Alligator mississippiensis: one gene and its partner. The protein of the gene in region 2 interacts with the protein of the main gene of each other region in a biochemical or structural test. Links are inferred from orthologs where the notes say so. Each region holds a gene or a part of one and is shown on either strand. Other genes may lie near its edges.

What was found. The genes of interacting proteins can lie anywhere in the genome.
Region 1: the proteins of cyclin-dependent kinase 4 inhibitor B-like (region 2) and SERTAD1 form a complex in vitro, tested with the Homo sapiens proteins (2 studies listed by BioGRID). The link is inferred for Alligator mississippiensis from reciprocal best matches to the Homo sapiens genes CDKN2A and SERTAD1.

The regions. Positions count from the first base shown.
Region 1 is NC_081838.1:2,495,805-2,502,889, forward strand, and holds SERTAD1 (SERTA domain-containing protein 1), read right to left. Parts: upstream 2,757-7,085; 5' UTR 1,939-2,756; intron 1,547-1,938; 5' UTR 1,543-1,546; coding exon 655-1,542; 3' UTR 562-654; downstream 1-561. Other genes in the region: BLVRB (flavin reductase (NADPH)), read right to left, coding at 3,494-3,657, 3,730-3,861, 4,015-4,104, 4,185-4,346, 5,299-5,380; SPTBN4 (spectrin beta chain, non-erythrocytic 4), read left to right, coding at 5,840-5,878. UniProt on the Homo sapiens protein: Acts at E2F-responsive promoters as coregulator to integrate signals provided by PHD- and/or bromodomain-containing transcription factors. Stimulates E2F1/TFDP1 transcriptional activity.
Region 2 is NC_081826.1:175,523,263-175,531,005, reverse strand, and holds the start of cyclin-dependent kinase 4 inhibitor B-like, read right to left. Parts: upstream 3,006-7,743; 5' UTR 2,914-3,005; coding exon 2,785-2,913; intron 1-2,784. UniProt on the Homo sapiens protein: Acts as a negative regulator of the proliferation of normal cells by interacting strongly with CDK4 and CDK6. This inhibits their ability to interact with cyclins D and to phosphorylate the retinoblastoma protein.

The DNA.
Region 1 (7,085 bases), on a different chromosome or scaffold from region 2:
AGAGAACCTGGACCTTTTCAGCCTCCGGAAGAGAAGGTTGAGAGGCGACCTTGCGGCTGCCTATAAGTTCATCACCGGGGCACAGAAGGGAATTGGTGAGGATTTATTCACCAAGGCGCCCCCGGGGGTTACAAGAAACAATGGCCACAAGCTAGCAGAGAGCAGATTTAGACTGGACATTAGGAAGAACTTCTTCACGGTTCGAGTGGCCAAGGTCTGGAACGGGCTCCCAAGGGAGGTGGTGCTCTCCCCTACCCTGGGGGTCTTCAAGAGGAGGTTAGACGAGTATCTAGCTGGGGTCATCTAGACCCAGCACTCTTTCCTGCTTATGCAGGGGGTCGGACTCGATGATCTATTGAGGTCCCTTCCAACCCTAACGTCTATGAATCATCTATGAATCTATGAAAACTCGGCCACAAGGGGGCATGTGCCCCTGACTCGCTTCCTGCCTCAGTTTCCCTGTGGTCTCCCCCCACCCAAGACCTGGGGCAACACCCAGGCATCTGGGCTCCCAGCCCCCCAACTTTGCCCCAGCACCAGGTACAAGAGGCAGGAGCTGACTCAGACATTAACCATTTCATTGCCTGCGGCTCTGCAGCCTGGGGGGGGCAAACTGCCCAAGACCCCCCCGGCCTGCCAGGCCTGGGAGCGGGCTCAGAGCCCCCGTGGGCCCACCAGCACATCCATGAGCAAGTCCAGGTCATTGATGTCCAGGCCCCCGTCCTCAGGGCCCGGCGCCGCCTCGTCCTCGCCCGGCGCCGGCGCCAAGGCCTTGAGGCCGGCAGGTGCCCACAGCTCGCCGTCATACATGGAGGTGTCGATGTCCTCGAAGACGCCCTCCAGCCCCTCGTCCGGCAGAGGGGCCAGCAGTGCCCGTGCCCCGCACTCTGCGCCCCACAGCGCCGGGACCAGGCTGCCCGCCGGCTCCAAGTCCCCCAGGAGCCCCGAGACGGACGAGCCGAGCGAGACGTCCAGGCTGGGGAGCAGCATGGCAGGCCCTGTGCCGAGAAGGATGCCAGAGCTGTCCAAGGGGGCGCTGGAGCCGTCCAGTGGGCCCGTGGGCCAGTCTGGGAGGGCGCCGGAGCTGTCCAAGGGGGCGCCAGAGCCCTCCAGTGGGCCCATGGGGCAGTCTGGGAGGGTGCCGGAGCTGTCCAAGGGGGCGCCGGAGCTGTCCAGAGGGCCCGTGGGGCAGTCTGGGAGGGCGCCGGAGCTGTCCAAGGGGGCGCCGGAGCCATCCAGTGGGCATGTGGGGCAGTCTGGGAGGGCGCCGGAGCCATCCGGCGGGGCGGCGGGGCAACGTAGGACAGTGCCAGGGGGCTCGGGCGCCGCAGCCTCCGTCTGCATCTGGTCCTGGAGGCGCCGCAGGGCGTTGGTCACGAGCACCAGGGGCCGCAGGTCGGGCTCCACGTGCCGCAGGCTCCGGTGCAGCTTGACCACGGACAGGCTGAAGAGGGAGGTGGCCGGGGCGGCGGGGGACGCGGGGGCATCCGGCCCTGCGCTCTCTGCGGTGCCGCGCTTGCGCTTGACGCCCTTGTTCAGCATGGCGCTGCGAGGGAAGGGGAGACTCAGCACCGCGCCGCGGGGGCTCGGGCACAGGGGGCGGGGCCGGACACCCGGGTTTTTTCCTGCCTCCCCGCCCCGGTCTCGCGGCTCCCATGGACCCAGGCTGCAGGTGCCATCACTGAGGCCCGGAGCAGAGGGCTCCCCCCCACCCCTGTGCCTCAGTTTCCCCACCCCGGTCCTGCCCGGCGCCGGCGAGGCGGGGGCGGGGCGGTGAGTCAGGCCGGCCCCGCCCCCCCGTGAGTCACCGCCCGCGCTCCCTCCGCTCCGCTCTGCTCCGCCCCGCCCCCGCGCCCCGGTCCCGGCCCCCCCCCGTCCCGGCCGCCCCCCTCCCCTCCCCGCAGCGCAGCCCCGAGCCCGGGACCCTCATTTACATACCCGCTCCTCAGGGGCCAATCCGCGGGGCCTGGAACGCGGCGCGCAGCCAATCAGGAGCCGGCATCCCCCCCTCCTCTCTTCCCCCGCCCCCCTCCACCGACCCGGCGCCGATCCTCGCTGCCGCGGCACGCCCGGCCCCAGCCAATGGGCGGGGCCAGGCCAGGAAAAGGGCGGGGCGCGGGCCAGCCAATCGGAGCGTGGGGCTGGGGGGCTTATTTGCATTCCGTGGGCGGACGGGGGAGAGTCAAGGAAAGGGGAGAGGAAGGAGCGCGAGGCCCCGCCTGCTTCTGCCTGATAGGTGGAGGCGAGGGGGATTCATTTGCATAGTGGGGGGCTGACGTCAGCGGCTCCCCGCGGCGCGTGGGGGGAGATGAGTGTGTCCGGTCTCAGCTCACAGCAGCCGCCAATAGGCGGGGCGGGGGTTGGGGCTCCGGCCTCCCCCGAGCCTGGCACCCCCGGGCACCCCTGTGCCAGGCGGGTAGCAGAGGAAGGGCTGCGGCGAGGAACCGAAACCGCAGCACGCCCTGCTACGCCCGCCTGGCGCCCAGCGGCCCAGGGGGTGCAGGGAAGGGCCCCCCGCCGCAGGCAGGTGTTGAGGCCTGGGCCTGGGCACGTGGCCCCTGAAGCGGAGCAGGGCCTGGCACGGCCACGGGTCCTGACCTACGCCTGCACCCCCCGGGGGGCCCAGAGGGAGCCCGGGCTTTGCCCCTGCCCCCCAGACCTCGTAGTGACCGCGGAGGCGGACGCAGACCCTGCAGCTCCCCGACTCCCTCGCCTCCACCCCATGGGCCCCGCTGCCCTCTTCCACCCAGCCATTCCCAGTCCCGATCCCCCATGACCTCTGCCCCCCCATGGTTGCCCCTGCATCACATGGTGCCCCCCATGACGTCCCTGCCCTGCACGGTGCCCCCCGGGACCCCGATCCCCCATGACCCCTGACCCTCCACGCTGCCCCTGCCCCGCCTGGTACCACCCCATGGCCTGTGCCTCCCATGGGGCAGCTCCCCCATCACCCCTTCATGGTGCCTCCTCTTTCCTGCCCCCCCCAGCCCTGCTCCCTGATTGGAGCTGGCGCTGCCATGGGGATAAAGCAGCCTGCAGATCCCAACATGTCCCAGGTGGAGGGGGGGGGGGCAGAGTGGGGGGGCTCAGCGCAGGGCATGCTGGGACATTTTGGCCTCCTGCCAGGCCCCCTCCTCCCCTGGTGGGGCTCAGCAGCCCTTGTGGGGTGGGAATGGGAACCGGGACGCCTGGCAGGCTGCGGGGTCGGACTCGGACCTGGATGCCCGGGTTCTCCCCAGCCCAGTGGCGGAGTGGGGGCAGTGCCTCAGTTCCCCCAGATGGCAGGTGCATCACCCGGCTCCCTTCTTCAACCCCCCCAGGCTCCCTGCTGCACGTGGGCAGCTCCCGCAGGGAACCCAGGTGTCTGGGCCAGGCCGGGAGGGGGGGCGTCAGGCCAGGCAGGTGGAGAGCGGCTGGGAAAAATCACTGCGGTTTAATCATCCCGGGAGCGTCAGGCGCCGGAGCAAGCAGGGTGGGCAGCCGGGGGCCGGGCTCACTCCTTGGGGTAGTGGCGGGAGAGGTAGACGTTCTTGCCGTCGTACTGGGCCGTGCTCAGGCACTGCAGGAAGAAGTGGCCCAAGTCGTGCTTGGAGATGACGCGGGAGCCGCTCGCTGCGTTCACGGTCACCGTGTAGTCCCCGGTCAGCGGCTGGTCACCTGCGGGGGCAAGGGAGGGTCAGCAGGGGGGTCCCCATCGCTGCCCCCCTCCCCCCCAGCCCCGGCACACACCGGCGATGTGGGGCGGCATGACGGAGACGCAGTCCAGGCCCGAGTCCTGCAGGATGCGGTGCATGCGGATGTGGTCGTCGGTCACGGGCTGCAGCCTGGCCGGCACCTTGGCCGGGTCCCACATCAGGAAGGCTGCGGACAAGGGGCCACCCGAGCTGTGAGCTGCGGGCACCCGGCTCCGAGCCCCTGATGGGAGCCAGGAGTCTGGGCCCCCAGCCCTGCTGCACCCCTTGATCCCACCCCACCCCACCCCCTGGCATTAACCCCTGGCAGCCCAGAGCTCACCCGACAGGCACGCGACCACCTTGCGGATCCCGTGGGCCTTCATGGCAGTCACGATGTTCTTGGTGCCCTCGGACATCATGGTGGTGGGGCCTGGGGGGCAGGAGGCGGGTCAGGGGGCAGGAGACGGGTCAAGGGGGCAGGGGGCAGGGGGCAGGGGGCAGGGGACGTACTGAGGTCATTGCGGGTGCCCAGGATGATGATGACGGCGTCCTGCCCCTGCACAGCCCGGTCCACGGCGCTGGGGTCCAGCACGTCGCCCACCACCACGTGTGCTGGGTGCAGGTCCGGGGGCAGCCGCGCTGGGTCCCGCACCAGCACCGTCACCTGGTAGCCTGAGGGGGGAGAGCGGGTGAGCGTGGCCCGGACACCTGGGTTCTCCCCCGGCTCTGGGGGGGGCTCCCGCTCCCGTGGCTCAGCGCCTGTCTCGCTTTTGTGCCGCCCATGCCAGCTCCGGGTCTTGGCTGGCACCCGGCCCAGGCAGCAAGGGCCGGGGTGGCTGGGTGCCCAGCTGCCTGTTGGCGCCCGCTGGGCCCAGCGTGGCGCTGAGGTTAGGCCCTGGATTGGCCCGTGCTCCAGCTATGGGCTCACGCCCCCGGCTCGGGCATGTGGCAGGCGAGCAGCTGGGGACACGTGACCATGACTCAGCACCCTCCCAGCTGGGACCGTGACTCAGCAGAAGCCACCCTGGCGCGTGGGGACCTCAGTGGCCCTGGGCTGGCCCCTCTTGGCCAATGCCAATGGGGTTTGTACAGCACCTGGCACCCCGAGCCAGTGCCCTGCTCCAGACGATTGCACTGACCCACCTTTTGGCCACCCGGTGCCAACCAGCCCCCAGGCGCCCCAACCTGGTGGTGCTGGGGCCCTGATCCCGGTTGGGGTCTGGGTGGCACCAACACCCGATCCCCAAGCACCGCTGCTGGCGGGTCACGGTGGCACAGCGGGGAGGGGACCCAGGCGTCCGGGGGGCAACAGCAGAACTATCTCTGCTGGACGTGCCCAGGGCAGGGCGTCCACCAGTAACGGCCTTGCTTATCTCCCCACGCCATGCGCCGTCCACACCCCCCTGGCGCGGGCTCGGGGGCTCCTGCAGCTACCCCTGGCGGGGCCCGGGGCATCGGGGGGCCCATCCAATGCCCCCTCCCTGCACCCCCTGGGGCTACGTCTGGGTGTCCCTCCGTCAGCTGCCCCCCTGGGGGTGCTCGGGGCTTCTGCCCAGGGGGCAGGGGCTCTTCTGCCCCCAGCGCCCCGGGGGTTGGCTCGGACCCCCCGCGCCGCCCGCCCTACCGGCCTGCAGGGCTTGCGCCAGCGTGGCCAGCCCCGTCATGCCCGTGGCCCCGAAGATGACGATGTTCTTGCAGGTGGCCATGCCGGCGGTGCGGGTGCCTCTGTCACTCGGGTGTCCCCGCCGCGGGCCCTTCCGCGCGCTCGGTGCTGCGAGCTCCACCCAGAGGGGCCGGGCACCCGCAGGGCCGGCCCCTGCCAGCTGATGCAGCCGGTGCTGGGGAGGGGAGGGCGGCCGGGTGCCAGCCCTGCCCTTGCGGCTCCCACCTGGGCCTGGGGACGGCCCCCGCCTGCCTGAGTGTGCAGAGAGCCTGCACCCCGCAGCACCCTGGGGGCGGGGCCGGGCAGGGGGCGGGGCCGGGCACCCCGGGGACCCCGGTTCGGGTCCCGGCCCCCCCGGCTGACCCGGATCGCGGGGAGCGGCCGGCGCAGGACCCGGGGGGGCGGCGAGGGGGCTCTGCCCGGGGATTGGCTGCCGCGGCCGGCGGCGCTGACGAGCGGCGGGGCCGGGCCGGGCAGGCGGGCGGAGCCGGCGCATCCCTGGATGCTGCAGCCCGGAGCCGCGACCGCGCCCGCGGCCCCGGTGAGACACGGGGGGGGGGCTGCGTGTGCGTGTGTGTGCGTGTGTGTGTGTGTGTGTGCGTGCGCGCGCGTGTCTGTCTGCATGGCTGTGCATGGGTACGTGTCTGCACGGGTGTGCCCGTGGCCATGGGTGTGTGTGCATGCGCGTGTGTGAGAGCGTCTGGGTGTGTTTGTGCATGGGTGTGCATGACTGTATTGTGTGCGCGCATCTGTATGCATGCATGTGCGCCAGGGGGGAGGCGTGTGTGTGCATGGGGGCGCGTGTGTGCATGCGTGCCATTGCACATGGGAGCAGGTGCACATGTGTGTGTGCGTGTCGACGTGCCCTCTCCCGTGGCAGCGTGCCCCCCTGTGCAGGCGTATCCTTGCATGCACCCACACATATCCTTGCCCGTGTGTGTGTGTGTGTGTGTGTGTGTGTGTGTGTGTGTGTGTGCAGACCCATGCATCCCTGCCTGGGGAGAGGGGGGCCTGTGGGCCTGCACACGTGTGTGCATGCATGTGTGAGCCCCCCGCGGAGGGCAGCACCCTCTCCTGCTACCCCCCACTTGGGGCGCTGGAGCCGGGGCCTGGGCTGCCCGTCCCTGCCGCTCCCTGCAGGCCGGGGGGGCAGCAGAGGCCCCGGAGCTGGAGCCAGGTGGTGGCTGGGGGGGCTCCATGCTGCGCCGGGTGTAGGCCCAGGCCTCCGAGCTGTGATGGGGGGGGGGGGCTGTGTCAGCTGAAGGTGATGGGCAGGGAGCCAGCCTTGGCTGGAGGGACAGACCGGGGATGCCGGGGCTTGTCCTGCGGGCAGGGGCTGGAGCTGCACCCTGGGCTCCCGGGCACCCCCTCCCAGCTGCCGGGGCCGGAGCAAGCCCCAGCCCCAGGAGGGAGGCTGGAGCTCCATCCATCTGGCTGCAGCCGCGGCCTGGTCTCCACCGTGCTGCCCAGCGCGTGTACATGTGGGCACAGACGTGCACGCGAGTGAGCCAGGGTGGAGGCTCATGGATGCTCTTTTTGCAGGGCACCAAGGGTTAATACCCCACCCCGGACACCTGCCTTTTTCCTGCTGTGCCGGGGTCCGGGTCTGTCTGGGGGTCCCTGGAGCCTTGCGGGGGCTGGAGGGGGTGGGAGGCCCCTGGGATGCCCCAGTTACCTCTGGGGGGTATGCAGGTGCACGTGTGTGTGCATGGGCATGCATGTATGCTCCCGTATGCGTATGCATGTGT
Region 2 (7,743 bases):
GACCGTTTCCTTTGTTAACTGAGGAGGGAACGAGAACCAGATCATGTGCTCCCTTTAAAACCAGTCAGACTTTCCTCGCCCCCGAAAAAAGGGGGGCAAGGAGAAGAAATCAAATCCTGGGGCAATCCTCCGCCGATATGAAATTTCCTAACTCCGGTTGCTTTGAAGATATTTTCCCCCGGTGAGCAGCACATTTTAAAATATTTTTTAAATTTAAATTTCTTTAATTTTAATGAATTAATTAGTTGCAATTTTTTATTTTTAATAATTTATTTTTTTAGAATTGTATTATACACTATATTAAATATATGTATATAAATATAACACTGATATGTGCAGTTGTTGGACAATAATAGGGACCAATAATATATATATTAGAATATATATATATAATATGTATATGATTAGTCCCTATTATTGTCCAGTATCTGCAAATATCAATGTTATATAGTGTATAGTACAATTCTAAAAATATTACTGATTATATAATAATATTATTTAAAATTATGATATATTATTGGTCCCTTATTATTGTCCAGCCTCTGCAAATACCAATGTTTTAGTACAAGGGGACATTTTTTCCTGTAAGTTTAGTAGACAGTAGGCCCCCAGCCCTGCAGTACGTAAGCTAGATCTGTTTTCGCTAGTGCCCGCATGGGAAACTTCTTGGGCTAAACGAAATGGAGATCGCCTATTGAGAAAGGATTGCTCACTATCCACGGGATTATCGTCTCTGACAATGGGTAATCGTTGTGACCCTGTCAGGGCAGTCCCTATTGGGGGTGGGGGGGAGGCGAATCGGGGCGACTGCCCGGGGCCCCACGCCTTGGTGGGGCCCGTGGACAGTGCAGTACAGGCCCTGCCGCGGCCGCCACGCACCGCCGGCTCTACCACCGCCGAGCATTGCTGACTCCTGCAGTTCGCCACTCCCTGCCCCGCACATCCTTAGGGACTGCTCTGGACCCTGTCGCTATCATTTGTGTACTGCGCTCGAGCTCAGAATCTATCTCGTTCAGCCTGGGCATTAGTCCTTTCAGCGACTCATGGAAATAGGCTTTTGTAAACAGAAGCGTGTGTAATAAATACATAATAATATAAACTATACTAAATTAAATCGATATTGTTAGACTTCTATTATTGTCGGGTATATGCAAGTATCAGTGTTTTAGTGCAAAGGGTATAGGTTGTAGTCATCCATGCTGGTCTAAGGACATAGGGTGAAGAGTTGGAGAAATTCTTCTTTCTCTGGCTTGCAACAGAAAAATTTCTCCAACTATTTTAATTGGTCTAATAAAAAATATCAGATTTACCCAAAGATCCCTGTCTGCCTTAGTGCAAAGGGGACTAATTTTTTTTTCTCAGTTAGGTAGCCAAATAATTAAATAGTATAAGGTCGTTAATAAAAGGAATCCAGGAAAAAGTGTTTTTGTTCTGTTTTGGTTTGTTTTTTGGGGGGGTATAAGTCGAGACAGCATACACTTCTATTTTTTATTTTGAGGAAGAATCCATTTTCTTAACTGGCTGCCTCACACTTGCTATTTGAAACAAATAGAACTGTACTAATATTGCAATTTCTTTATATGATTTGATTTACATAACTTTTAACATGCACAAATCCCCATTTTAAACAAAATAATGTATTTGACACTTAATGCTGCCTTAAATACCTTGAAACCTAAACTTTTTTGTAACTACATTCTGAGAGAGAGAAAATTTGAATACAGGTAATGGAATATTATCTTTAAATATTCATTTAAAAGGTACATATAAATAACATGGACATTTTGCATGCCTTTTTTTCTGGGCAGGTTACATTTTAAATGGCTAAAACTCTTTGTAAAAGCTTACCTGCATGGCAGCTATTTTGTGTGCCAACCTTTTTATTAATTAAATGGCAGTAGCTTCTCTTCCCAATCTCAAATACAGGTTGAGAGAAAACTATAGGGTGGATCTAAAATCTGAACCTACTTGGAAATGGACTCTCTCTCTCTCCCCCCACATGTGTTTTTTTATTACTTTCCTTTCCAAGAGTAATAAAGAGAAAAGAACGATGCATCTTGTCTGTAGGCTACCAAAATTATTCCAGAGTCAGTGGCTGATTTATGCCCAGTTCAGCCTGGTGTTTTGACACTGGGTTGGGGATTGAAAACAAAAAGAAACAACCCCCTCCCCTCCCCTCCCCCCAAAAAAACAACCAACCCCCCCCAAAACAAAAAACCCCAACAACTAGAGGCACCACGTTTTTCTCTGCAATCACTCTTTGTGCACCAAGACAATCTAATTACTTAATTCCTTGAATTTTTACAGCTTTGTTTTTCAAACCTTCTGCTCTCTATATCTCTGCCCTCTTACCCGGGCGCCGTTTCTAGAGAACAGTAATGCAGCCTTGCACGCCAGTGTTATCAAGAGGATTGAAAACAAACGAAAACTAAAAAACACCAGCAACAAAAGTGTCCCCCCCGCAAAAAAAAAAAAAAAAAAAAAAAAAAAAATCCACCAAGGGAAGAAGAGAAGAGAAATGGAAGACACGGGGCCCCGGGACCAGGGGAACGCACATGCCCCTTCCAGCTGCCTGCGCAAGCAGCCGGAACTCCCCCCTTCCCCCACTCTCCTGGGGGACCAGACGGATTAGGATTTGCTAAACCCGGGGTGGGGTCCCCTCTTCAACCCAGATTTCTCTCCGACGTCTCCCCGCGATTGATTCACCCCCCAGTCCCAGCGCTGTGAAACCCAGGTGCAGTTAGCCGGCTCCCCCGCGCTCAGCCGCCCCCGCGGGGAGGCTACCTGCAGCGCCGTGCGGCCGAAGCTGTTCTGGGCGTCGGGGGCCGCGCCCGCCTCCAGCAGCGCCTGTACTGCCGCGCAGTCCCCCCGCGCCGCGGCGCTGGCCAGCTGGTCGCCCGGGCTCGCCGCCATGTGCCGCCAGCCGGCAGCCCCCACGCCCCCTCTCTGCTGCTGCCGCAGCCTGTAAGCTCGTAGCCCTTCCGTTTCCACCGGCCGCCCTCAGTCCCGCGGGAAAGGGGCGGGATCTTCCCCTGCTCCCGTGCTCAGCCCCCCCAGCCCCGCCACCCCGCGTCGGCTCGAGGGCGCGCACGGCCCTGAGGGCTGCAGCCGCTGGGTGGAGGTGCGCTGCCACCAGCCCCGGCGCAAGCGCCTGCCTGGCCATCCGGAGCGCGCAGCGTGGGCGCGGGCTGCCTCGCGGGGACGGGGGATAGGGCAGGAGGTGTAGGCTGAGCAGCGCTGGGTACCAGGCCCGCGACCATACTACCAGCTTTCCTTCGGCCCCAGGAAAAGTGTCTTGGGCCCCTGCTGAACACGCCAAGAGCAAAGGCTGGCCGCCACTGCGCCCTTGCCTATGGCAAACCCTGCCCAGGCGCCTCATCTCAACGCCAGCTCGGGGGGATGGGAGATGCCACTCAGCTGTCGGGCCCGCGATTCACGAAGGACGTGGATCTCTTGGAAAAAGCCCAGCAGAGAGACAACAGTGGTTCGGGGCCAGGGGGGCAAGGCTTCTGAGAAAAGCTTGAAGGAGCTAGGGTTCTTGATTCCGCAGAAGAGAAGAGCGGGGGGAGGGGCGATTTGAGAACAGTCTCCAAATACCTGAAGGGCCTTACAGAGAAGATGGGGAGGGATTTTTCCCTCTGGCTCTAGCTGTAGGGGACTGCACTAGGAGCAATGGCCTCAAACTGCAGCATGGGAGATTTAGGATGGATAGTAGGAAAACCTTTGGGACTCTGAGGGTGGTCAGGCATTGGAATAGACTACTTAGAGAACTTGTGGAATCTCCTTGCTTGGAAACTATTAAGAGTAGGTTGGACTGACACTTAGGAGGGATGGTTTAGTCGGGACTGGACAGACACCTTGCTGGGATCATTTGAACTCAGCACTATTCCTGTCCACAGCAGGGGGTTGGACTCGATGATCTTTAGGTCCTGTCCAAGCCTTAATTTTTATGATATGATTCTATGATATGATATGACCAAGCCTGCCTTGTGATCCCTTCCAGCCCTACTTTCTTAATATGTTTTAATACTCTAGTACCGAGCATCTCCCAACATTACCATTAAAATAAGCACCATTATAGGTGGGATCCTGAGATTCCCCTTCTGGGCTGGTCTGAACAGAGCTGTACAGTGTCCGAGTAGATAACCTCTGGAAGTCTTCTTTCCTTTCTCTCTCTCTCTCCCCCCCCCCCCCAACTTTTTTGATTCAGGCAACTATATAAAGCAAAATCGGAAACAAAGAGGAACATGCAGGAATTCGAATGAGGTTGAAGCTGTAACATCATTACAAAAGAAATAATACAAAACAATTCCTATAAATTATCACTACTATCAATATCGTGGTGTGTGTGTGTATGTGTGTGTGTGTGTGTGTGTGTGTGCGTATGTGTGTGGTCATTAATTAATTTTCAAAGAATCTGACTAGAGACTAGCTTACTGGGTGGTAATTTTTTGCCCTCAGCAATAGAAATAGATCAGTATAGGTTGGAAATAGAACCCATATTTTGAAATATCTATTCCTTCTTTGTCTTAGGCTGGTAATCTAATTTGATATGACAGTTTGTCCAACAACAACACATCCTATATTTTAGGTTAGCACATTATGGGGGAGAGGAAGAGGGGATGGTTCCTTCCACATATAAGCCATCTGTAATCTAGCTAACGACTTTTACTGGGGCATTCAAATGACAAACCAGTGGATTCAAAGAATTATTACCACCCACCTCACTAGTAACTTCCCCCTTCCACCCTCCCCCCCAGAATATTTGTACATTTGGACACAACCATAACATATGGAAAAAGGGACCTCTTTCTCTTTAGTTTCTCCAACATGATGCATCACCATTAGAAAATATGTGTTGGATTCTAGTTGGAGATAGGTCTCATCTTTGGAGTATTTTATAAAAGGCTTTTTTTTTTTCCTTTGGAAAGCATATATGGAAAATGAACACCTCTGTCCCCAAATTTCTCTTCAGTGCTCTAGCTCAGTTTCTTTCCTCAGGTCTCTTTCACAAGCCTTCATTTGTTTAGTCTTCCTAGCCATCCCTTTCTCTATTAAAATTGCATATATAAGATTAACTCTTTTTTTCTTGAGTCCACAATATGTCAGTTGCTCAAAGGGAGTATGCTTTTCTATTTATTTTTTAAATAAAATTCCTAATGTGAGGATACTGAAAAAAGGACTCATTTCCATTAGGGTTATCACAGATTCCTTTATTTTATAAGATCTCATAGCCTCCTCCCAAAAGCATTTGCCTAACTGGAGAATACCCACCCTGACCCAAACTGAGGGTATGTTTATACCAGATGCCTTAATGTACCCTGAACTGTTCTACTGTGCATTAGCACATTGCAGCAAAAACTAATATGCAGTAGAATTAGTCTGCTGTGCATTGAGCATCACAAAAAAAATGCCTTTGCTACCCTGCATTAGTGCTGCTACTGTGCCTTTATCTAGTACCTCATATTAGAGGTACTAAACTTAATGCAGTAGGAAAGGCACATTAATGAATATATAGACATGCTAAGAATTGCATTTTTGATCAGTTCTAGGGAGGAATTCTTTGGACAGTTAATGGGGAGGAGTGTGGGGAAAGCAACTTTTCACACACCAATGTATATCTTTCAACTGGGCTGCATGATAATATGCCATTATGGTGGGCACTGCAAGATCTTCCATTTTAGAAGGCCTGTGTATAACTGATGTGCTTACGCTTGGCCTCTTACTTTTACAGGCAAAATTCAGGAGAAAAGTTTGTGAAGCCTTTAATGTACTCCTTGGCATACATATAGTTAAGCTTTACAACAGTAAAGGAATTTTTGGGATATATATTTATTTTAAAAGTGGTTATTCTGTTTCTCCAAGAAATATCCATCCCCCATCCCCCTCCATTTTCTGAGGGGTTTTGTTATTTTAGACCAGACTGGCAAATAATTGGTGATAAAAAGTTTCTTGTGCTTTACTGTAAAGTTAATACCCAGGCATCTTATTGAATTTTAACCCAATTAAATGCATATAGTTTTTCATATATACATTTATATAAGCTTAAGTTTCTCAGAAATACCATGATCTAACATTTCTGATTCTTCATAATTATTTTTTTATCCATAAAAAGAGACAAACTTACATGCCTGGAATACTATTGCTTTTAAGGAAAAAAGAGGGTTTTTTACAAAAAGGAGTGCATCATCTGCATACAGAGCTCTATTAAGTTTCATCCCTGTGTCCTAAAAAGCCTCTAACACATGGTCACCTGTTAAGGAAAAAAACTTCTTGCCTAGGTTTCAAAAGAAAGTTTTTAAGAAGTTCAAACTTTGGTTCACATGCAGTTCAGGCAGGCAAAGAAAAGTAAAAAAAATCCATGTTCACCTTGAAATTTTTATTCTATTACCTGGCCAATTTCAGAAGCTTATTAAAGAAGGCTAGTGAATACAGAAATATGGTTGATAGGTTATATTCTAATTCAGCGGTTTTCAACCTATTTGCCATAGTGGGCCACACATGCAGCTTTCAACATGTTATATGGGCTACACCCCACAGCTAAGGGGGCCCCCAGCTGCCAGGGCTACAGAAACCAGGGCCACGGCCTGTAGCCCCCTATCCCGCCCCCCCATCAGCACCCAAGCCCCGGAGGCCTCCCATGGGAGGTGGTGGTTGCTGTGGCCAGAGTGGAGCATGCAGTTCAGCTCTCTGCCACTCCCCCCCTCCCCCACTGTGGGCAGCACAACTGAAATGAAGCCCATTGCGGGGAGAGGGGAGGGAGATATGACCTGCCTATTGTGGGCTCAGGGCTTCTGCAGCTCAGTGGGTGGGCCCTGGAGGGGAGGCTCAGTGCCATGGCTGGGAACAGCATGCTGGCCTTGCCACCATGGTGAGGCAACCCTGCCCACCTGGCAGCAGCAGCAGCAGCATGGAGTTGTGTCCCCCAGCTGTTGCTAGGTAGGCAGGGGGTGGCTTGCCATGGTGGTGTCGCCAACATGGGGCTCCCTGAAGTGGCATTGAGCTTCCCCACCCCACTCTGCTGCGGAGGCCCCTGGGAGAGGGCAGCAGGGTAGGGAGCCCCAAGCCTGCAGCTGGCAGTTCACATCTACCCCACCCCTGCACACAAATCCAGGGGGCATGTGCCCCCCCCTTCCTCTCTTCCTGGGATTATGCGCAGCAGCAGGGAGCCCCCCCCCCTACCCCTCACTGGGCCCTGTGGCTGCACATTTCTATCTTGGTCCTGGACCCCATGTACCACTTCAGCTGGGCAGTGACCACAGCCCATCCCAGCCCTGTCCTGCCCTGTCTTACTTTAATCCCTCTCTCCCTCCCTCACTGTGGGGGCCTCAGTTCCTCCCCCTCCCCCCCACTTCCCTGCATAGACTTACCGGGAGGGAGCTGAAGGAGCTGCTCTCCATGCTGTCTGCCCCATGCATGTGTGCCACTTGCCTCTGATTGCTCTCCTCCTGCTCTTCCCAGCCCCAAGCAGCTCCTTGCAGGTGGGAACTCTGTCAGCCTCCAAGGGGAAACCTGCCATTTTCCATGTTTTTTCTCCCTGACTCTAACAAACAGGTACTAATTAAATGTGCAATAACTGGAGCTACTGCCCAGTAGCACCAGTGCACACTTTTTAAGTGATGCAAATATTCAGTAGACTAATTCTACTGTGTGTTAGTGCATTAACAAGGTGCAGCAGGGCTGGGGCTGCTGCAGGGACATTTTCTTATAAAGTTTTTAGAACCAGTCTACCTGTTTTAATTC